3 linked regions of the Arabidopsis thaliana genome follow. The protein of the gene in region 2 interacts with the protein of the main gene of each other region in a pairwise test. Each region holds a gene or a part of one and is shown on either strand. Other genes may lie near its edges.

What was found. The genes of interacting proteins can lie anywhere in the genome.
Region 1: the proteins of GLR2.9 (region 2) and CAT6 interact in a protein complementation assay, tested with the Arabidopsis thaliana proteins (one large-scale study listed by BioGRID).
Region 3: the proteins of GLR2.9 (region 2) and GDU4 interact in a protein complementation assay, tested with the Arabidopsis thaliana proteins (one large-scale study listed by BioGRID).

What each region holds. Positions count from the first base shown.
Region 1 is NC_003076.8:1,374,903-1,384,035, reverse strand, and holds CAT6 (cationic amino acid transporter 6), read right to left. Parts: upstream 5,416-9,133; 5' UTR 4,919-5,415; coding exon 4,516-4,918; exon of another isoform or gene 4,400-4,515; coding exon 3,831-4,399; intron 3,719-3,830; coding exon 3,487-3,718; intron 2,766-3,486; coding exon of another isoform or gene 2,734-2,765; exon of another isoform or gene 2,280-2,733; coding exon 1,732-2,279; 3' UTR 1,558-1,731; downstream 1-1,557. UniProt on the Arabidopsis thaliana protein: Permease involved in the transport of the cationic neutral or acidic amino acids.
Region 2 is NC_003071.7:12,499,349-12,508,343, reverse strand, and holds GLR2.9 (glutamate receptor 2.9), read left to right. Parts: upstream 1-3,399; 5' UTR 3,400-3,425; coding exon 3,426-3,687; intron 3,688-4,312; coding exon 4,313-5,598; intron 5,599-5,729; coding exon 5,730-6,042; intron 6,043-6,198; coding exon 6,199-6,602; intron 6,603-6,688; coding exon 6,689-7,252; downstream 7,253-8,995. Other genes in the region: GLR2.8 (glutamate receptor 2.8), read left to right, coding at 1-225, 405-799, 904-1,464. UniProt on the Arabidopsis thaliana protein: Glutamate-gated receptor that probably acts as a non-selective cation channel. May be involved in light-signal transduction and calcium homeostasis via the regulation of calcium influx into cells.
Region 3 is NC_003071.7:10,555,443-10,561,796, reverse strand, and holds GDU4 (glutamine dumper 4), read right to left. Parts: upstream 2,625-6,354; 5' UTR 2,319-2,624; coding exon 1,848-2,318; 3' UTR 1,558-1,847; downstream 1-1,557. UniProt on the Arabidopsis thaliana protein: Probable subunit of an amino acid transporter involved in the regulation of the amino acid metabolism. Stimulates amino acid export by activating nonselective amino acid facilitators.

The DNA of each region.
Region 1 (9,133 bases), on a different chromosome or scaffold from region 2:
ATTTTATACATAAAGATCTTTTTTTCTTTAAGCGAATGTCAAAGCTCATGAGAAGTCGGAAAAAAATTTCGTGATAAAAATGTCAACAAAAAAGTGAAATAATTGATTAGACCTATATAGCTATGGATTAATGGGCTCACTCTATCTTCTACACAACTTGCCTTAGATTTTGCTTTGAATGGTTTATAAGAGGTTGACATTTTCGTGGTCCCGTGTTCTATATAATTTATTTAATCAAGGATTAAGCTCTAGTTTTCTTCATTTACTCTAGTGCATTTCAGAAATTGATAGCCGATAATTATAATGCAATAATAATGATCCTAAATCCAAGATATTTTGTTAGTTTAGACAGGTTGTACCAAAAAAAAAAAAAAATGAAGAAAATAGGTTCTTTCATGGCCGTTGTTAAACAAAATACATGTTGTCTTTTTGTAAACCTCAAAAGTCAAAATTTTGGTAGTTAATCCAATGTAGAATCCAATATTAAGGTTTGTAATTAGGATAAAGGAAAGTTTTAAAAAGAAGCACTGATCACGCTTAGAGTTGAACCCTTTTACAGAGGGAACTCATTACTTTGAGTAAAGTGGGGTTTCTAGAAAGACATCAAATCTTTGTATTGCCAATAGAATCACATCTTCTTATTGGCAGAATATTTCTTATAAACAAATCCATAAATAATGTAAAAATAAAGCTTCCAACAATGTGACGATCTTGAAAATATTGGGCTTTTCTTTGGACCCCATCCTTACGAATATAGTTACCAAAAAGAGAGAGAATACAAGCAAGTGTCGTCTCCCACTTAAACACAGTTCATTTAGATTCGAGATTTATATCATCCACTTCAAAATATATAAAAATGTAATTATGTATGTTATCCTAACTAAATTACTCACATAATTATTGCCTATTGGTAGTGTTCACTAAAAGAATAATTGGACTGATTATACTAATTGAGATCACATATTCGATCCTACCTTAGACATTCATCTTTATGAAATCAATAAGATAAACTAAATCATACTTGATAAGAAATAAAAGTAGAAAAATGAAGACATCTTTAATAAACTGAAACTTTTTGTGCATGGTTCTTTGTTTACGAAAGTTCAATAGTACTATTGATATATAGAATATATAAATGCAAATAATAAAAGAATGTATAAATATCCTCAAGGAATTTGAAACAAGTGATTGTGAACAAAAAAATGAAAAAGAAAAGGTGATCTTGTTGGATATATATGAAGTTGCGGATAATGTCACGTATGTGTGTCCCGTGAGAAAGATGGGGACCCATCGTTTTCAATTGTACGCCATCTCGTATTTATGAGAGACCTATGTCTATCTAACGTTTCCATTTATTAATGTTATCTATCACATGTATATTTCATACGTGATCTTGCCTTATAGGTTTGACAAAGATTTGATCTTTCAATCTCAAAAACTTGTAACCTAATAGTTTGTACTGTATTTAAAAATATTGTGTGTTGTGAATTGTACACAACGGTAAAACAAAAATATCATCAGTTTCTCTATTCTCTCAACAGATTGACTTGCATATGACCGATTTCATTTTGGTCGTTCGTTAAACCAAAATACATATTCTTTTTTTTCCTAAAGTTGTATTTAATATTTTCTCATTAATATTTCAAACCCCCTCATGTAGAAAAAAAATTAGAGAGTTTAATTACATTTTGGTTCATGATGCTTTAGAAAACTAAACTAAATAAATACTTTTCACACTTCAATTAGCTCTTTCATGACTTGTCCATCTTTCACACCAAAAGATCCATTCGCTTCAGCATCAGAACTCGCATGAACGCCATAAAACAAATACACGAGCACGATCAAACCGGAGAAGAATCCAAACCGGACGTAAGAGGGTGCGTCCAACGAACCAAGCAAAAAAATGTTCAAGAATATCGACACGCACGGGGTCCACGGCATGAACGGGACTCCCCACAACTCAGGTTTCCTAGCCTGGGGAACCACGCACTGAAAGCTCAGCACGATGGCTATAGCCACCACCGCACTGGCACCGAGCATGAAAGCTTTAGGCTTACCTTCCGGCACAAGTTTCCAGATGAGGGTGAAGACGAGAGAGGTTATGGAGAATAGTGTGAGGAAGCAGAGTGTGGGCCACGGCTTGGTGGGTCCAACCGGGACGTAACGTCTGAAGATGAGAGCGTTTGCGACCATGTAGAAGACAAATAGTGTTCCAATGGATACGAGGTTTAGGAGGACGTTTAGGTCGGTGAAAAGCGCAAGAGCCGCCGTGAAAATGCCTGATAAGGGATAAAATATACGAACGTTAATAAGATTGGTCAATGGTCATATTCTCTATAACTGTAGATGATTCGACTAGTGAAAAAAGTCCAAATTTGAAATGAATGGTAGTGGGAGGATTTGTTCCTTTATTTTGTCTTTTTGTCAATGCTATTGATGGATATAGCAAATGTGAGTTAGTGGGTGCTAAAATTAGCAAGGATAAGGTTGAACGATGATGACCCCCTTTATAATGATCCATTTTGTGACAAAGGCATGAGAGTAACTTAATGAGGAAAACAATGCTTGTTACAAAGATTATGCATATAAATATGGCTCTAAACGTTAGTATATGTTTTCCAATCTTCTATGTATTTTATCAAAGATGGTCATTATTCTAAATCCTGGTACCTAACAACTCACGAGTTGCATAGCTCAGCCAGATGTTCCGGAAATTACGAAAAGTTGGAGTTGTCAAAATATCAGCCGACTAGGCTTAGTAGTATCTTCACAAAAAAAATGAAATAAAAAAATGATTGATTAACTACTAGTCGTCCAATGGATGACTAATAATCCAACTATCGTATTTTTATTTAAAAAAAAGTGGAATATGTATTTTTAACACTAAGGAGACACAAAAAGAACCAAAGAGACCCACCAAATCCATCACAATCAAGACCGTTGAAAAGATTGAATCTTTGAACAATCAAAAAACACGAAACTTTTCACAGAGCAGAAAAGAAAACCAGTGGTGAACAACGACATCTAGCAATCGGACTCAGATGCTCTCTCTGTGACTCTTGTCTTAAACACCATACAATGATACAAATCACATTGAACCATGTCCCTACATTGAGATATACTTACACAACGTACATAGCCCTTGTCACGATCGAAATCGATAGCAGAAGATTTTTAAAATGGTAACGTCCAAAAGCTTTTGATCTTTAAAATATATTGAAATGGACACGTATATATAATGAAATCACGTGGATCGTATGATTTAGAGAAAACGTTAAAAGTTCAAATCAATAAAAAGATCATGGAAACAACCGAAACGGTTCTCATTGGGGTCCCCTTTTAACCTAACTACTACTCCTCTATCTCACTTTCTGGACCAAAATTTATTTTTAACTATATATGATTTGATTATATTTCATCATTGTTTGTTTGACAGTAATTAAATAAATGTTTTTTTGATGAATGAATGAAGACAAAGAAACGTACCAAGAAAAGTGGAGGCGTTGACTGGCGTAGATGTTTTGGGATGAATCTTAGCGAACCAAAAGGGGACCACTCTGGACCGTCCGATGACACACATGTAGCGAGCCTGACCTAACATTGCCACCAAAAGTGATGTTAATATCCCAAAGCTTGCTCCTATCCCCACCACTTTCGTCACCCATTCCCAGCCGTTCGATCCTCTGAACGCCGCGGAAAACGGCGCCTCCGGATCTATCTGCGTTACAACAACACATGCCCCGCCGTTTTCAGCTTTAGACTCAGACTACGTGCCGTCTTTATGAAAACGGAAATATACAATAAGAAAATAATAAATTTGAAGTACGGACCAGATCGTATGGCAGAAGCATTGACATAGAGACTGCCATGAGACAGTAAAGAACGGTGACGATTGCGACGGAGCCGGAAACACCGACGGGGATATCTTTGACCGGATTTTCAACTTCTTCCGCCATGGTTGAAACGGCGTCGTATCCTATGTAGCTTAAGTAAACCATGGCAGCTCCGTTGAAAACTCCCGCCGCGCCGAACGGAAAAAATCCCGAGGGGTGCTCTGGATTCGCCGGTGAGGATAGATTCTTTGAATCTCCTTTTATGAATCCCATCACGATCACGAAGAATATGAATGCGATGTGAAATGCAGTCATTATCATGTTCACTTTGGAACTCTCTCTTGTACTGCAACAGATGATGACTGTGATTACGAGGACGACGAGAACTGCGACTGGATCAATCTCGTTGAATCCTTTCGGTAAACCGGAGACGACGAATCGCCACTTGGAAGTTGAGATCCCGAAAGCTGTTCCTAAATAAGCGGTGAAGCTTCTCGAAACGGCCGCGTTTGACATTACGTAATCCATTACAAGATTTGCTCCGGTGAAAAATGCTGGAAATTCACCTGAACGGAAATGTAACAGAAAAGAAATCAGTTACGGTTTTTGATTTTGAAATTAAAATTTTCAGAAAACCGTGAACAGATCGGAGGAGTAGTGATGATTTTCGCGGGAGACTAACCGAATGTGATACGGATGTAGCTGAAGGCACCGCCGGCGACCGGGAGATGGACGGCGAATTCGGTGTAACAGAAAGCGGAGAGGAGAGCGCAGAGCCCGGCGATGGCGTAAGAGACGACAATTGAAGGACCGGCGTCGAGACGACTAGCACGGCCGGTGGTGACAAAGACACCGGCGCCGACCATTCCCCCGATTCCGAGTCCAATGAGATCGTACCACCGGAGAGTACGGCGCATCTGTTCGCCGGAGACGGCGCGGACGCGACTCATCTCGTCGGAAGAGGTGGAGACGGAAATAGCGCGGCGGGATAAGCGAGAAGGCGTCGCGGAAAGAGAGTTGAGGTAGACGCGGAGACTGGAGAAAGAAGAGTGACCACCATTGTTGCTGCTGCTTTGGACCTCCATTTTCTCACCGGCCAGATTCGGGTCGGGTCGGTTTGTGTGAGAATTTTGTTGAATTTGACAAGAGTTGGTTTTATATTAGAGATTAGGAAAAGTGAAAAAGAGAAGGATAGGGACAAAGATGTAATTATGACGATACTTAAGGGCATTTAAATGTTATAAGTATTGTTATTAACAACAAGATTGTTCCCTAATTCTTATATTCACATTAATCACATAAGCATCATCAGCTCAAAAGCTTACTAAACCCAAGATGCTTTATCTCTTTGGTCCAATTACAGTTACATTTATATATACTAATTATGCTAACGCTTTTATTGATTCATATACAAATCATAAACTAGTTTGGTAGTATATAGTATGTATTCACATCTAGCTAAGCTTGTAAACTATTTTTGTTGACCATAAACCACTAAAATTGGTATTTTATTAAATATCATTAGACTGCTGAGTTGTAACAGAGTGGCATTTCCTATGGTTATCTTATTTTGTTTTGTTTTTTAAAAAATAGGAAAAAAATGAATTACGGTTTTTATTGAAGAATATTCTTTTTTTTTTACTACTTATCATTAATTGTTAATAACACTCTTTATTGTTTAAATTTATAGATTTGTACTCAATTATTTATATTTAAAAAAAATATCTCAACACTATAACACCATATAAACATTCTAATAAGATATGTTTTTAAACAACATTATTAGTATATTTCAAAATGGTCAAAATATTTCGAACCTGAGAAATGAACTTTTTAATCATAAATATGTCATTGGAGAATCATTCCCACATTTTTCCTTGAAATGAGGGTCTAAAATTGATGTTATTATAGACAAAATTTTGTAATTGCGTTCCTTGTAATTGATAGGGAATTAGTACTAATTAATGAAATTAATACCATAATTGTGTCTATGACTATGATCGGTTGTTTGAAACGTAACGACTCTCTGCTTCAAAAGCTCTTCCTTACTTAGTTCCCGAGGTTATGAAACCGTCACGGACGTTAAAAAGAAAAAACTAAACAAACGGCGTTAACTTCCGTATATCATAAGACACGGTAACGACGTTACCTCTAACGGCTATGTGTGGTTTAAGATTCACACGTGTGGCAAAGAAGGTGACACGTGGGATGTTGTTTTGTTTTCAATGGATAAGCACACAGGTTTAAAGCGAAGCGTGACCAGAATTTGAGGAAATGAGTTTTTGTAATTAGTTGGTTCTTTTCGACAATCTTCTCATTTTTTATAGTTGGCAACTTGGCATTACTAGGAAAATATTATCGCATATTTGCAGCTAATTAAGGTCTTCTTCAACTGATTTTGTCTCTGCATTTAAATGTTTTAAAACGAGGACACGAATAGTTTGGTACTTAGAGGAATAAATAACCGCAAATCTTGTGTTGGTACAGTTTGTAACTTAGTAATTTGTTTTAGTGTTAGTGCCGTGTTATTTGATAGTATGTGTGAGTGGTAATATGCATGAGTGAGTTCTTGAAAAAAAAGATGAGTGATCTGTTCTCTGTGATAAGGGCAACGCAACATGTTTGCAGGTTGTATCATGATCCTGATGAGTATTCTCCATAGAGAAATCGGCATTAGACTCGACGCTTTAAGATGAAGAAGAAGCAATGGATTGACTGATTTTATTTTCATGGGTCGAACTCGGAGCCTTTGATGCTGTTCACTGAAATCCAAAATCCAAAATCACCAACACCACCAACTAACCGCATGTGTATATGTAATCCAAAATCAACACTATTTTTACCACACCAAAACTCACTATAAGGTTAATTCGAATAGAACTCATCTAACCATCTATGAAACTTGATTAAAAAGTGTTGTAGAATGATTTGTGTATGTTTATGTAAAAGTTCTATCGCTCCCAATCATACCCGTAACTGGATACACGTTGCAATTGATCTTTTTATTTTTTGGTTGGCCGCGCACTGCATTGAATTAACACTACCTTATCCAAACAAATAGTATTAAATATCTACTTCAATCGAACACTCTTAAGCCTCTCTTTGTTCACAATAATGATAATTAGATTAGTGTCAGCAACGTTGACACATATTCGTATCTACAACACACATACGCATACATTTATATATAAATTAATTTCGACAAGAATAAATTATGACTTGTATGGTCACCAATAAGTCTCACATTTTTGGGTACACAAAAGAGTAATAATGAAATAAATAAAAAAGATAATGTGGAGTGGTTTATACAGTGAGTGGGATGGTCAAATCTGAATTTTAGATAAGATGCAAAATTCAGGTTGCCTCAATCCGACCACGTCTCACACGCCCTGTGCCAGACCTGCCCATCTCTGTTTTCCCTATAGTATTTTTTTCTAATTGAAAAATACAAAAATTCCATTCTCCATATATTTGAAGTTATATAAAATCCGTGGCAAAATATGTGATTTGACTTTTGAGTGCCAATCCGATATGTGAGCCGTTTTGTAAACACAATTTTTGGTTTCAGTAAAAGCAAGATATTAGGATCTGATTTCATATATAAATTTTTGAAGATACCTTATTATATCACCCAAAAAAAAAGCTGTGTATTCAAGAAAGTGTAGTATTTTAAAAATAAATATGTAAAATGTTCATGAGTGAGACTCCCTACTAGTTTAAGATTGTCAAATTCACCTAGTTAAAGTTGGATCACTTATTTATCCATAAATAGATAACTTAAGAGATTGTCAAATTCTATTTAAAGAGTCTATCTAAAAGGCCCATTCTCTTTTTTACATAAACCAAAACCGCTCATTAACTATTTTGATCAGTCCAGTCCAATAGTTTGTGTTTTCCTTGTTTTTGGGCTACTAGCCCATACACATTTCCAAAAAAAAAAAAAAAACTTTTTTTTCCCCCTATTTTACTACATTTTTGTTAATTTAATGTTTGATTCAAAATTTACCTCACCAATTTATCCCCTCTTCTAATTTCCTTTCTATGTATTTTTTTCAATTCAGAAATTTCATACCTTCTTTTTATCATCCAATAATCGCCCCATATTTTTCATACTCACAGTTATTTTTTTTGATTTTTCTGTATTTATTTTCCCATATTTTTGAAGATAATATCAAAACTTGAAACATATGGTAGCAGATAAAAAGCTTAAAATAGCAAGAGCTTAGTAGATTTTATTTGGAAATTGGAAAGCCAGGTGACGATTAAACAAGAGGCCACGTCATGTAGATGCACCAGTCCGATGCCAAAAAGTATCCTCGCAAAACAATTGGCAGAAGACACGTGGCTCAATACTGGTGAAGAGTCGGTCTTGGCGTCTTGGTCGACTTCGTAACGTATCCACTTCATATTTGCAATCCAATTAATTTAGTAAAAAGTGTGTAAACCATTTTTAAAAACAAGTAAAGTAAACTACGTGTGAAGAAAGAAACAAGTACGGCTAAAAAAATACTAAAAAAATTAGTTGAAGTTGCTTTGTTTTCTTTTGTTGAAGGTCGTTGAGAACATAGTTTAATAAATACAATGAAACTCTTCCGATAAGATAAGACAAATTTCGGTGTTATCTTTCTCTACAGGAGTATTTAATAAAAAGTATAAATCGAACTATTTTATAACACGTTCGAAATCAAATATACTCATGTTTTCCACTTCCCACGTTTACGCTGACAATCTAACATTATGTGTTTCAACAAGTAATAATGTAACACTCACCAAGGCATGAACTGATGGAAGTGCTATGAATAGAATATGATTGATTGTAGTGTGTGTTTGGAGCTTTTACTGGTCAATACACTTAAAACAGTTGAGGATTGGATTTTTTGACTAACATTAATGACCCAACTGTCAAAAATTAGTCAAACTTTGCGGTACATAATTTAATTAACACGTCAAATGTTGGACCATCACTATAAAAAAAAATATTTGTTCATCATGAGAATCGTCCTTGGCCCAAAAAAAAATCCGAAAACATAACAAGAATTATAAGGTTAGTAAAATGAAAAAATCATAAACAGATGGAAAATCACAGATAACCATAATTACGAAAGTGAAGTTGAGAGAGGATTGGACAAAAATAGTGACAAGGAAGACGTAGACAGTGCAGTGCTGTGATTGATTCGAGAATGTGAAACCTAAATAAAACAAGTCTTTCTAGATTGCTTTTTCGTATTTTTAGGCGGTTGGTTTTTTTTTTTTTTTTTAAATAGCTACGTGTTCCCATTTTATTGGAAAAACAAAGTGGC
Region 2 (8,995 bases):
TGTCTATGATGGTGCCGGTGAGAGACAACGAGAATAAGAACACATGGGTGTTCCTCAAACCTTGGGGCTTAGACTTATGGGTCACCACTGCTTGTTTCTTCGTCCTCATTGGTTTTGTTGTGTGGTTGTTCGAACATAGAGTCAACACCGACTTCCGTGGACCGCCTCACCACCAGATCGGCACTAGTTTTTGGTTCTCTTTCTCCACCATGGTTTTTGCCCACCGTAAGTTCTTACACCAATAATGATAAATGTTAACTTTCTTTTGAAAACTATATTATGTAAAATGAGACTATTGTTACATTGTTTATATATTAAATGTCAACTTATTTTCAATGTGATAATTTTTTTATTAACAAGAATCAAGATCCTAATGATGAAGTAATTTGTGTGTGTGCATATAGGTGAGAAGGTAGTGAGCAACTTAGCAAGGTTTGTGGTGGTTGTATGGTGCTTTGTGGTGCTTGTGCTCACTCAGAGCTACACAGCAAATCTCACCTCTTTCTTGACGGTGCAACGTTTTCAACCAGCGGCCATAAATGTGAAAGATCTCATAAAAAATGGGGACTATGTAGGCTATCAACACGGGGCTTTTGTTAAAGATTTTCTAATAAAAGAGGGATTTAATGTTTCTAAGCTCAAGCCTTTTGGGTCTTCCGAAGAATGTCACGCGCTTTTGTCCAATGGTAGTATATCAGCAGCTTTCGACGAAGTTGCTTACCTTAGGGCTATCCTTTCTCAATACTGCTCCAAATATGCCATTGTTGAGCCTACATTTAAGACTGCTGGTTTTGGCTTTGTAAGTTTCTTTTTTTTTTCCCTTATATATGAAAATTTCAAACTAGGAAAAAAAAAAAAAGACAGTTCGAGTATTCATTGCTTGTTTCCTTGATCAATGTGTAGGCATTCCCCAGGAATTCACCTTTGACAGGAGATGTCTCAAAGGCTATCTTAAATGTGACTCAAGGAGATGAAATGCAACACATCGAGAACAAATGGTTCATGAAACAAAATGATTGTCCTGATCCAAAGACCGCTCTTTCGTCGAACCGTCTAAGCCTTCGTAGCTTTTGGGGTCTGTTTCTAATAGCAGGCATTGCTTCATTCTTGGCACTACTCATCTTCGTGTTTCTTTTCTTGTACGAAAATAGGCATACACTATGTGATGATTCCGAAGATTCGATATGGCGTAAGCTAACGTCTTTATTCAGAAACTTCGATGAGAAAGACATAAAGTCGCATACTTTCAAGAGCAGCGCTGTTCATCATGTGAGTTCACCTATGACTCAGTACATTCCGAGCCCTTCAACTTTGCAAATCGCACCACGGCCACATAGCCCATCACAAGACAGGGCGTTTGAACTAAGAAGAGTGTCATTTACCCCGAATGAAGAACGGTTAACTACGCAAACTATACATTTTGAAGATGAAGAATCTGATATTGAATGTGTTGTTGAACAATAGAGATAAGTTTAGAAGATTCCATAACAAGTTATAGATAGGATAAGCTAAGTTCGCTGCATATATTCCTAACAAAGCTATTATTCTTTTATTTATAACAAAGTTTATATTAATAGGATTGCATTGCAAAAATATAGCAACTCTAAAAACTTCATATGTACATAGTGGCAAGTGACTTTAAGGAAAGTTCCTAGTTCCAAATAAACGAGGATAACTATTCGCATCCATTCCCAACCAGGGTCGTGAAAGAGGGCTCTGGTCATTCATGATCCATCCACCATGCGTGATTCTTACATCTCGGCCAAAAGATCCAATAATTTACTATATCATTATTTGCAAATGCTCATAGCTCTACAATATCACAATCTCAAGCAAGAAGAAGCGTAACAGAGGAAGAAAGATAAAGGTACACATAGTTATGTAAAAGCAATCACTGCCTTTCACGAAGTGGTTGTCCTTTAGCGAAACCCTCTCTTCGAATTGGAGACTTTTTTAGCTTTATAACCCAAGCTAAACAACTCAACGTCCTCCAGTTACCCTTTAATGACTTAAATCGGACCAAATGCATTTCAATTTAATCAATTCTTCAACACAACAGAATTTTAAGAAATTAGACTATTGTATATCAACCATAAAAAATTGTTTATGTCGTCATCACCCACGTAAATGTAGATTCTTCAGTTATATCCAAAATCATGTACTGTAATTTAGGATTAATGTATTTTCATTGTTTTGGAAAAAATAATGTTGACGAATATTTGTTTTCGATTTGCCCATATTATACGTCTTCTTGACCTATTCTCGAACATGCGTAAGAGAATGTTGTTCTACAACGGACAATCATATTGTGTATGGCATAGTTGAACAAACTAAATCTGAATAAATCCAAACTAAGAAAATTCCGTTAATTTCCGACTGCTCGTAAAAAATAAAATTAAAAATCTTGGAGGGAAACTCACTTCACTTACCCTATATTTTTTAATTTCTGTATGCTAATTCCACCAAAGTACACATATCTACAAGATACACTCTTCTATAAAACATTTATTTATTTTATAGTAGTACGACAATTTTTGATACATTTTATTTCTAAGAATTCTTTAAAAACGGTTCATTGCATTTTTTTGCGTTAATTGTATGGACATATCTACATATATAAGCTATTTTTAGTGTTTTTGTGTGCAAGCATATAATTATTCTCAACCATTTTTTTTAATTTAATCCTATTACATTTCCCAAACACATTTTTGCTTATTCTTATTCTCTTTAAAACACATATATTTCCAAATATTACCTCTAACCTATTTCGATTATTGTAATTCCTATTGCAAAACACATTTGAAAATTCTTAAAGTTGGCCAAAACAATTATTAAAAAATTATAATATTTAAATTTACCATTAAATCTGGATAAAATGTATATATTCTTTTTATATAAGAAAAGCTTACAATAGTATTTATCTCGTGCATTAGCATGGGATGGATGTATAAAACATTAGTTTTTTTCTTCAGAAAGGCTATCCTCAAAAATAGATCTCAAAAAGGGTTAAGAATCTTATTTTGCACAATTAACTCTTAATTATTTCAATTATGATATTATAATATGTCAATTACAATACTAAAAGTAAAAAAAAGAAAGAATTGCGATCCTTATATTTTATAAAATAGACGATTTGGTTATTTAATAAGTTATGGGTATTTTGTAGTTTGCTTTTCAAAGAGAATTCATCTGCAAAAGCCTCATTTGACTCTTTCAAACCAGTTTTATTAATTTCTAGTCAACACACTTTTTTTTAAAAAAAAATCGATATGTCTCTTTCGTTGAGAAACCAATTTTTGGCATAGTATTTCAAAGTCTTTCATTGATTATAAGTATCTTTCAAACCGATCCTTCCACTGTATATATATAACAGGAAAAAAGTAAGTTAAAGAATCACATAAAGTCTCCTCAGTTTTGGGGCGATTATGATGATGAAAACTAATAACACCTTTTTGAGTTACTTTGTTTGCGGTTTTTTGTTGATGGGGGTTGGTTTAGGACAAAACCAAACAAGTGAAATCAAAGTAGGAGTAGTTCTTGATCTCAATACAACATTTTCCAAGATCTGCCTCACTTCTATAAAGATGGCCGTGTCCGATTTCTACGCGGATCATCCAAATTACCTCACAAGACTTACGCTTCACGTTAGAGATTCCATGGAAGATACTGTTCAGGCTTCAGCTGCAGGTTCGTTACTTCTCTATGTCTTGCTTCAGCTTCCCGTCATTTTGATTTATTACTTATTAGTTGCGGTTGAATGAAACATATTACGTATAGACATGGTTTAGCTAATTACTATTTTATTGAATGTGACCAATATTTTAGATCAGTATTAAAAATCAAAGTATCATATGGGGGTATATGCTAAGAGTCTTGGTGACGATTTATCTTTTAGACTATACTTCAAAAACCAAGTGTATTCTTATGTGGTCTAATGTCTATGGTAAGAGCAATCTCTTGATAGAGAAGTCCAATTTTTTTCTCTTCTAGAAATTCATGGTGACGGTTGTATGGTCGCAGAAATCCTGATTACTATTAGTCTCGTTAATTATATTTAACTCATGAGTCTTAATATATTAGATGAATAGTCGAAAACTATTGGTGACATGTCTTATGATACCTCTACAATTTTAACTATTTATGTAAATTAATATTGTCTTATTACTTTGCAACTAGAGCTCTTTTGGACTCGACAAACATGGCTTAGCCTTATAAGTTGTAACTCTTCCATTGAAAATGGAAGATATTATATCCAAAAACAGAGGATATTTAACCTTTCTTCTTTTCTTTATGTTGCTTGTGGTGCAAGCAGCCTTGGACCTAATCAAAACCGAGCAAGTGAGCGCCATCATCGGACCAATAAACTCTATGCAAGCAGATTTTATGATCAAACTGGCCAACAAAACTCAAGTACCGACCATCACATTCTCTGCAACAAGCCCTCTTTTGACATCCATCAAAAGCCCTTACTTCGTCAGAGCCACTATCGACGACTCATCCCAGGTCAGGGCCATTGCGTCCATTTTCAAATTCTTTAGGTGGAGAAGGGTCGTCGCAATTTATGTGGACAACGAGTTTGGTGAAGGATTCATGCCTTTCTTGTTTGACGCTTTACAAGACGTGGAAGTCAAGAGAAGTGTGATCCCTCCGGAGGCTATCGATGATGAGATTCAGAAAGAACTTCGTAAGCTCATGGAGAGGCAAGCGAGAGTATTTGTTGTCCACATGGAATCAAGTCTCGCTTTACGGGTTTTTCAGATAGCTAGGGATATCGGGATGATGGAGGAAGGGTATGTATGGTTAATGACCAATGGAATGACGCATATGATGAGACATATAAACAATGGTCGTAGCTTAAATACTATAGAGGGCGTGTTAGGTGTGAGGAGCCATGTCCCCAAATCGAAAGAGCTCGGAGATTTCCGTTTGAGATGGAAAAGAACATTTGAGAAGGAGAATCCATCGATGAGAGATGATCTAAACGTTTTTGCATTATGGGCATATGATTCAATTACTGCATTGGCTAAGGCTGTGGAGAAAGCCAACACAAAGAGCTTATGGTATGATAATGGGAGCACCTTGTCAAAAAATAGGACAGATTTGGGGAACGTAGGGGTCTCTCTCTATGGTCCAAGTCTTCAAAAGGCTTTCTCGGAGGTAAGATTCAATGGTTTGGCAGGAGAGTTTAAACTCATAGACGGGCAGCTCCAGTCACCAAAGTTTGAGATCATAAATTTTGTCGGAAATGAAGAGAGGATTATTGGATTTTGGACACCAAGAGATGGACTCATGGATGCAACAAGTTCAAACAAAAAAACGTTGGGGCCAGTGATATGGCCAGGGAAGTCAAAAATTGTTCCAAAAGGATGGGAGATTCCAGGGAAGAAGCTTAGAGTGGGCGTTCCAATGAAGAAAGGCTTCTTTGATTTTGTTAAGGTAACCATAAATCCGATCACTAACAAAAAGACCCCAACCGGTTATGCCATAGAAATCTTTGAAGCTGCTCTTAAGGAATTGCCATATTTAGTCATTCCTGAGTACGTCAGTTTTGAGTCTCCAAATAACTACAACAATTTGGTCTACCAAGTATATGACAAGGTTAGTTTCTTTTTTTCTACTTACAAACAAAAAATTCTAAACATTCACAAAATCATATTGTAAACCATTTCCCTAATTTTATGTCTTTTAGATGTTAGATTTATAACACATTATACTAATATATGAAGCAGACATGGGATGCAGTTGTTGGAGATATAACCATCACAGCGAACAGATCTTTGTACGCTGACTTCACGTTACCGTTCACAGAGTCAGGAGTGTCTATGATGGTGCCGGTGAGAGATAATGAGAATAAGGACACATGGGTGTTCCTCGAACCTTGGAGCTTAGAGCTATGGGTCACCACCGGTTGTTTCTTCGTCTTCATTGGTTTTGTTGTGTGGCTATTCGAACACAGAGTCAACACCGACTTCCGTGGACCGCCTCAGTACCAGATCGGCACTAGTTTATGGTTCTCCTTCTCCACCATGGTTTTTGCCCACCGTAAGTTCTTACACCAATCAAGAATCTAATAATGATAAATATTTACGTTTTGTAGCTTTTATCTCCAAACATAATTACATTGTCAATATTTTTTAGATATCTCAACTTATTTTATGATTGTAATGATAAAGTGAAAACTTGTGCATGTGTATATAGGTGAGAATGTAGTGAGCAATTTAGCAAGGTTTGTGGTGGTTGTCTGGTGTTTTGTAGTGCTTGTTCTCACTCAGAGCTACACAGCGAGTCTCACCTCTTTCCTCACGGTACAAAGTTTGCAACCGACGGTCACAAATGTAAACGATCTCATCAAAAATAGGGATTGTGTAGGGTACCAAGGTGGTGCTTTCGTTAAAGATATTCTATTAGGGCTAGGATTTCATGAAGATCAGCTAAAGCCTTTTGATTCTGCCAAAGATGCCGACGACCTTTTGTCCAAGGGGAAATCAAAAGGTATCGCAGCAGCTTTCGACGAAGTTGCTTACCTTAAGGCTATCCTTTCTCAATCCTGCTCTAAATATGTCATGGTTGAACCTACATTTAAGACTGGTGGTTTTGGCTTTGTAAGTACCTTCTGTTTCCTTTCTATGTATTTTTACAAAATAAGGGGACAAATAACACATGTTTTGTTTCCATGATCAATGTGTAGGCATTCCCGAAGAATTCACCTTTGACGGGAGAATTCTCAAGGGCTATCTTGAATCTGACACAAAACAATGTAACGCAACAAATCGAGGACAGATGGTTCCCGAAAAAGAATGATTGTCCTGATCCAATGACCGCTCTTTCGTCCAACCGTCTCAACCTCAGTAGCTTCTTGGGTCTATTTCTAATAGCAGGCACTGCTATATCTTTTTCATTACTCGTCTTCGTGGCTCTTTTCTTGTACGAACATAGGCACACTCTAGGTGATGATTCCGAGGATTCCTTGTGGAGAAAGCTAAAGTTCTTGTTCAAAATCTTCGATGAGAAAGACATGAATTCGCATACTTTCAAGAACAGTGCCATTCATAATATAAGTTCACCTATGACTCACAAGACTCCGAGCCCTTCAACTGTGCAAATCACACCATGGCCACAAAGCCCATCACAAAACAGAGAGTTTGAGCTAAGAAGAGTGTCATTTAGCCCGAGCGAAGAACGCTTCACTACGCAACCGATAATACATCATGAAGATGGAGAATCTGATATTGAATGTCGAGTTGAACAATAGAGATAGATGTTTTACAAAACTACATTAAGAAGTTATAGATGATTATTTACCAAAAAAAAATTATAGATTCTTCCATGAAAATTAATACGATTTTATTTATTAAATTGTTATTATAGATTTATATAGAATTCATCTTTCAGTGCTTGCCTACTCAATATTTGAAAGAAGATACATCAAACGCACTTCTATTAATTAAAGTTTGTGAAGCAAGTAACATCAGAACAGAGATGTCTACAAATAAAAGTAAGAACATTTATATTCTTATAACAATATACATAAGACTTAATATCAAACCCAAAAAGAAACAGAAAAAGAAAAAAGACTGACGACGATAACTTAAGAAAATTTCATCATTATGCGATCACCGACCAAAGATGAATAGATGATTATACGAATAATATTAAGACTTTTAAAAAACGAAGGGAAGTTTCTTAAGGAAGAGGAAACGTTGAAGTGTGAATAACTGAGGAGTTCCAGCGAAGCGGCTACTGCATTTTGCAGTGATCTGAGGTTCGTATATGCGTACGTGGATTTCTAGGGATGTCACGGACTAAGTTATTTTTATTTTAATCTTCAAATGTCATTTGATTTATATTTTAAAGATCCTTCTCCAACTTATCCACTACGCAGCCCTTTCACCACAACGAACGACCATATACGTCAATTTTAAGTGATTCATTGACTAAAGATAACGTTAGTTTAAAGTATTTAATTTACCAAGGTCCAAGATATGATGAAGTTTTCAAAAATAGTTTAGAAAATAAGGTTTTTGGTGACCAGAGTAAATTTTATTTAAAACCTTGCATTTTATAAAGGTAAAAGATCGTCAAATATTCTTTTTAATCCATTCGTTATAGAAACTATTAATTATTTAATCGTTTTCTTAATCATCATGTTATCAATTGTTTTCTATTGCAAAGATTTTTTGTATTATCTTCTATCGTCATTGTGTATACACAAAATACGTAAAAGTAATTGACTATCACATCGTACAGAGAAAAGATTCATCATCATAAAACAAAAATGGAAAAACTCAAACGTAGTATTTGTTTAACTAATGGAAGTGGTAATATTTTCTAAACAAAAGAAAAGAATTTAACTTTGCTAGATTTTTTCTTGCTGACAAGAGAACTCAACCATACAACATTTTCAGTGGATCCCATTTATCTCAAAGAAAAAATGATGAACTAAGGTCTTTGTTTTTTGTGGTCACTAAAGTGTAGTGTGGGGTTAGCCAAAGGGCAAGTAAAATACAGTCCAAATACACAAACACCACTCACCACTGAATTTACACATTATTTTTCCTTTCTTGTTCCGTACAGGTTTTCGTATCAACAAAAAATATAAATTATCCTAAAATAATTAATCGTAGAACAACAAAGGATAGCAAACGATAACCACATAAATAGTACTGCGCCGAACACTTTGTGTACAAATATCTATATATGTAAAGACTCAAAAGAAAAGTAAAATCAAGTTTTGAAAGGAGAACATGTAAATAACATTCAAAAAAAAAAAAAAAACAAGTAGAATGATAAGTTCTGAATTATACTTTTAATATACTTCTAGAATCTAGGATATTCTATTTGTAGTATATATGCAATTTTCAAGTTTGTGTTTATTGGACCAAAGAACCGTCGGCAAATTTTTGTATTACTTATCAAAAATATATTTTATTTTAATTACTATAAAAATAAATACAAAAAACTAAGATAGATATACGATCTTTATTTTTTCTTTTTG
Region 3 (6,354 bases), 1.9 Mb from region 2:
TATGCTAGAGAAACTTACAACAACTAAAATCGCATATCCATATCAAGTGATGTTTTCACTCGGAAAAATTAACAAAATGTTCTTGTTTGATACAAGTAATTTTGTTTTCGCCATCCTTTATTTTTATTATTATTTTATTTGTACCTTTTGCTTATGCGGCACAAAGTTTGAGACAGTTGGGGAAATGAATGCAATGAAAGAAGAAGTATTGCTTTGGAACTTTCTTGCGGGAGACGCGGCTACTCGGCGCCTCTAAAGACAGCTCAGCAAATGACAAATAAGTCAAAACAGAATCATTGTCTTCGCTTTCATATTAAACTCTGTTTTTGACACGTGTCCCCTTTCTCTTATGCAGCTCTTTCGATTCAGAGAACAAACGTTTTCAATTAATTAGCTACTACTAATGGACAAATATTAGTTATATAATTTTTTCACCTTTGTTGAAATCAGTGGATTATCTAGCCTGTGGATTATAATTTCAGTGGACTAATTAGCGACGAAAATATAAATTTTAACAAACAAATATATTAAAACAGAAAAAAACATTTGTGGTGAATAAAATTAAAATTCTAAATGACATTCCATTTACGATAATTTAAAACGGAAAATAATATTTATATTACTACATATGTATGTGTGTAATTGAACTACGCAAATGAGTTTATTAGGATTTTTAATGATTTTTACAAAAAATTACTTAAGTGATCGTATATTAGTAGCTGGGAAAAAGACCCCAATATAAAAAAATAGAAATAAGTTGTAAAATGTTTTTGATTGAGGATTATACAAACCTTAAGTTTTAGACGTTTGTTTGGAGTGCACTTCACTTCAAAATACTTAATAACGTGAGAACAGAAGAAAATTTGGTCATGTAACAAGACTCTTGTTGATGGGATATTATCAAATTGAAAGTAAAGCAGGCAAATGGGGCAAGTAATCGAATTATCTTTTGATTTATACCATAATATGTGTTTCCAATTTTTGTTTAATGAAAAAAAGAATATGATTCCTTTTCTTGTGACAAGACTAACTCACGCACATATTTTCGAATATTACGAATGTAAGTTCATAGTTAATAGTAATACTATTTCCAGTTTATTCACTCGTTATATAACAAGTATAGTTAAACAAGTATAGTTAAAATTTGACGGTGAACTAGATGGAGTCTCAATTAATTTAAAATATCCAAGTTGATAGCAAATTCAGAACTATCCTATGGTAAATAAAATATATAAATGCAAGGAAAATATGAAAGTAACACAAATACATGGAGGAGACACAATTATAACAATTCATAATTAAAGTAACTAAACGAATCTCCTTACAAAATATAAAATGTGAGAATATATACGTAATACAAAAGGGTTAATGCATTACATTAGTTTCTGAAAATGTATATAAAATTACAGTTTGTGTACGGGATGAATCACGTTTCCATCGAAACATTGCAAGCTTTGAATTTATGATCAATAGTGTTATGATACTTTTTTTTTTTTTTTTGGGCAAACATAGTGTTATGATACTATGATTCATTTTTTTGTAGATCTTAGTGATGACATAAAATTGTAAGAATTTTAAGTACTATTATGTTATTCCGTTTTAGTTTACTCTATTACTGATTGGTATTAAAGCTGTATGAGAAAGGTTACCTATCACACTTTTGAGAATTACAAAAACTAAAAACGAGTTTTCCACCATTGGGGATAGGAAATTACAAGCAAACATTCATTAATCATAACCCAAAATTTTCTCTCAGTAAATTTTACATTTCCCGTGAAAACACGAAGGAAAATTCCCCAACAAAAAAAAAAAGACAAGACTGAGAGAAGAAAAGAAAACAAAAAAGCTCACTGACTCGTTGTTTCTTCATTTTCTTTGGCTTTCTCTCTGTCTCCCATTTTCTCCTCTCCAGCACCAATACCATCCTCCTTGAAAATTACCATTCTACCCTCGTGACCGCACATGCATTTGTTCGCCGCCGGCGTGGCCAGAAACCTCGGCAAGTCATCTCCGGCCATTATGACAAGAACCTTCTCCTCGCACGCCGCGCTAGCCGCCTTCACTCCAGACCGACTCTCTTTTTCCTCGTCGACTCTTTCGCCGGAGTCATCACCGGAGGTTGACAAGCGCCAGTAAGAGCAGGCTAGGATAAGTAAAGCGAAGGCTATGAGGCCTAACATCGCCGCAAGACCACCGAATAGGTACGGCACCGGTGAGTGCCACGGCGATATCGGCGGTCGGTGATTCCCAAATGATTCTACTGATGTGGCATGTCTAGCTACATCTAACGATGTTGGTTTAATGCTCAATGGCCTCATTTTTTTTATGTTTCTTCTGTTTCTCTCAGATTTTTTCTAACTATTTTGTTTTTTTTGTTTTTCTAACTTTATATAAAGGAAAAAGTGAAGAAAGCTGGAAAGATGAATGAAACAATGGGTGTGGTGAGGTGTTATATTTATAGGTAAGAAGTCCCTGGGGAAAAAGAAAGTGAGTCACTCCGAATATTTAATTATTTGAATTAAAGCAGCTTTTTTTTTCATTTGCCGTTTATTACTTTTTAGTTTTGCCGCATATATTTGCATGCAATATTATGTACTCAAACTTACTTTGTTATAGACACATATATATGTTAAGGTGCTTGTTTTTTTAAAGAAAGATAGCGAACATTAATTACACAAATTTAAACTAGACACGATAAATTAAATTTTAGTATCTTTAAGAAACTACACTAAAAAAAACTTGAAAAATGCCTACAAGAACTACCGCAGATTGGTTTAAAATTTTTGCTTAACGGTTGTTGAAAAATATATAAATGGTGATTTTTAAAATCAAAAAAAGGATATCAATCATAATATTTACCAATAAATTTGAAACCATATGAACTTTGACATCAATCAACTACACAAACTACAATAATTGGGTATTAGACTTATAAGTCTTATATCCAATAATATGTCAGTGATAGCATGATATCGAGAAAGTTTTTGGAAAGACAAGGGGTTTCCTCTTGATGACTCTAAGATACTTTAAGCCAAATAGATCAATTTAGATAGATGAATAGTTTGGTTTCTGGAAGTGACAGAGGAATGAGAGTGAGAGATGGATTCCAAGACCCCTTACTCTCAGTTCTAATTTATGGCACGATATCTATCTTCTTGTGAGGACACACTATGATGCCTAATGGGGATTTTATTTTTTTGGGATCCCGCAAATTGGGAATCCAACTTCTCTCTTTCTTTTTGGATGAAGAAATTTTCTATCTCTCAATTTTTCTATATCTAAAAGTATTATAAAGTCTATCACTTAATATTTGTCATGTTATAGGTTTTAAATGGTAACACATTCTCAAAGCGATATAACTTGTACTATTTTGAGAGTTATCATTCGCAAAAATTAACTTTATCAAAAACATTACAAAAAGTTTTACTCTTAACTTTACTGTACAGCTTTCTCGTATAATTCTTTTGTACAACTTTGCACTATTCCAAAAAAAGTTTTGGTTATAGCTAACAGCTAAAATTTTGTACAGTTTTGTGTTACCAATCGGACTTATATAAAATAAAATAATCTCGAGTAGTCCAAACACAATTTTCAACTTAACATATCACCAAACTTTGCTTGAATTCAATAATTCTCCTTTTTTTTTTGCAAAGTAAATTATTTAATGTTTTACAATAATAATGAATATTAAAATCTGCACCATAACACATGGCTTAAAAAAAATCATGACTTAATATCGGTAGAATATTGTTAGTCATTATTGTTTAGAAAAACATATTTAGGGCAATAAAGATTTGGAATTGTTAGTTATAAAAGACTAACAAATTCAAAAATTTATTACCCTAAATATATATTTTGAATTATTTTAATTATTACAAATAAATTGATTTGATATTAAAATATATATGTTTTTGATTAATTGTTATTAATTTAAGAAAGTTAATTTAGTAATTTTACATATTAAAAATATATTTTTAAAAGAAAAATAAAGAAAAAAAATTTCAAAAGTGCAAATAAAAGTCATATGTGGGATTTTTTTTTTTTTTTTTTTCCAATTGTTACTATCACACCAACTACCGTGCACCAGGTGCACTACCTCAATAATCCATAAAGCTGTCATCATATTAAAATGTAGTGATCAGGTGCAAATTTGTGCCCCAAATGTTATAAACTTTTTCTTTTCTTTTTGTTAAAAGAATTAAGTTTATATTTTTTCACAGGTTCCATTTTAAAGGACCATGTCTGTTTTTCAAACTAAATTCTTACAAATATATAAGAAAGCATATTTTGGAATCATCTATGTATTCACATTGCGAACTAAAGAAGAGAAAAACTTAATACTTATTTTCTGTTACCCTTGAAACATAGGCGTTTATACCATTAAAATGGCAGAAAAATTATATCGACTAATGAAATTAAACTAGTTAAATGAAGTCCAGTTAACTAATCGAAGTTACCGAACATAAAGGGTTCTTATTTTTGTCAAAAACATAAAGAGTTCAAACCTTCAAATTTATAGCGTAGTTTTCTCTCGGTCCATTTTTTAGTCAAGAAAACTTTTGATCCAACTACAAAAATTTACTTTTAAAGAAATTATTTATCGAAAACATTAACTCAGTAATAAACAAGTTTATCTTAAGTCTTTGTAAAAAATGCATACAGAATATCTATAGCGTAGTTTACTCTCAGTCTATCTCTAGTCAACAAAACTTTTGATCGATCAGTTCCAAATATTCACTTTTGAACGAATCATTTATCCAAAAACATTAACTCAGTAAATAAACTAGTTTAACTCAAGTCTTTCTAAAAAATGCTTTAAAATGCATATCAGTGTTCGAAGTAGTTTAATATATATGTTGACAAAAGATGAAGAGCAGTTTAATTTTATACAATATATATTTTTAAGAATTTTTACCTTTTCCCGCAAAATCTGTGATGATTATAGAGGCCCACAAAGATATTAGTGCGACATAAGGCACAGTGAAAGAGCACATTTGCTTTGGTGGTAAATGACAATGTTTGCACAATTATAAGAGAGACAGAAATGATTGGGAAAGGACGAGAGGGAATGAGCATTGTGGGGTAAAGTCCCAACAAACCTCTTTGTGCATCTTGTCTTCATTTTCCATTTTCTCGATTGGTGCATTGATGTGATCTAAATGCTTATCTTTCTCCTCTGGTATTCGGTGATTTCGTTTTCGCATCATATGATATGGATAACATTAATAAATATCTTGTGTTGTTTGTATGCTTCGACTGTTTATGCATAATCTTTTGAAGAACATTTTATTTCTATTGAAAGATGCATCATTGCCAAAATTTTACATGGTTTCCATTGTTTGTTTGTGTTAGCGCTTCCATTTACATTTAACTTTATATATACTTTTATATAATCGACAATCTTAAAGCATATTAAACATTTTACAGATTCTCTTTGATACATTTTTGCAGTTAGGTTTGATGTATATGATCCTCCAGTCATTAGGTTAGATGCATTTATAATGGATTTGTATGATGAAATTGTGTTTAGAATTATTGTTTGGGCTTGTTGGTATGTTATGTTTTTAAAGTTAAGATCGGATTTCTAACTTCTGCTTAATTAGTTTTGTTCTTTTATACATTTTGCACCATATTTTGCTTTTTTTTTTCTTCCTGTAAATCTCATCATATATTACATTTTGTTAGTGCGGTCATATATACATTTTTTTTCTTTCATATAAACTATAAATTTTAATAAAATGGTGTTTAATAATAATGAAATGTATCATTTGCCTTCTTTAGAATAAGGGGCAAATATACATATATATATATATATATATATATATATATATATATTTATCGAGCAATTTGTTAAAAAATAAAATACGTCAACCACCTGAAGAGAAAAGAAATGTCAATAGGTAAACTTAATATTAATAATATTAGTCGATTGGCATTTTTCGAATCATTTTAAGTTTTAACTGCCGATATCCCGATACTATGAGTTTGATTTGCTGTACTGTCATAATTACTTACAACAGTGAGACACGAAGACGGGACGTATTCATTTATTTTTCTCTGACAAGATTAACATAGAAAAAAAATTTACATTAAAAAGAAAACATAGAAAATTTGAAATCACTAGTCGTTGTCATTACACAAATTCAATTCTATTTTATATTATCTAAGCACAACTTAAAGATTAGATTCGCTCAACAATATCTTTGGTCCAAATTGATTTGGCACATTGTCACAATGAGAATCATTACCGCTATTATAAATTAATTACGTTTGCCATTAAAAAAACCCTCAATATATACTTCCTTTTTTTTTTATATGTATTAGAATATAAAGCACCTTTTTGACAGAAAAAAG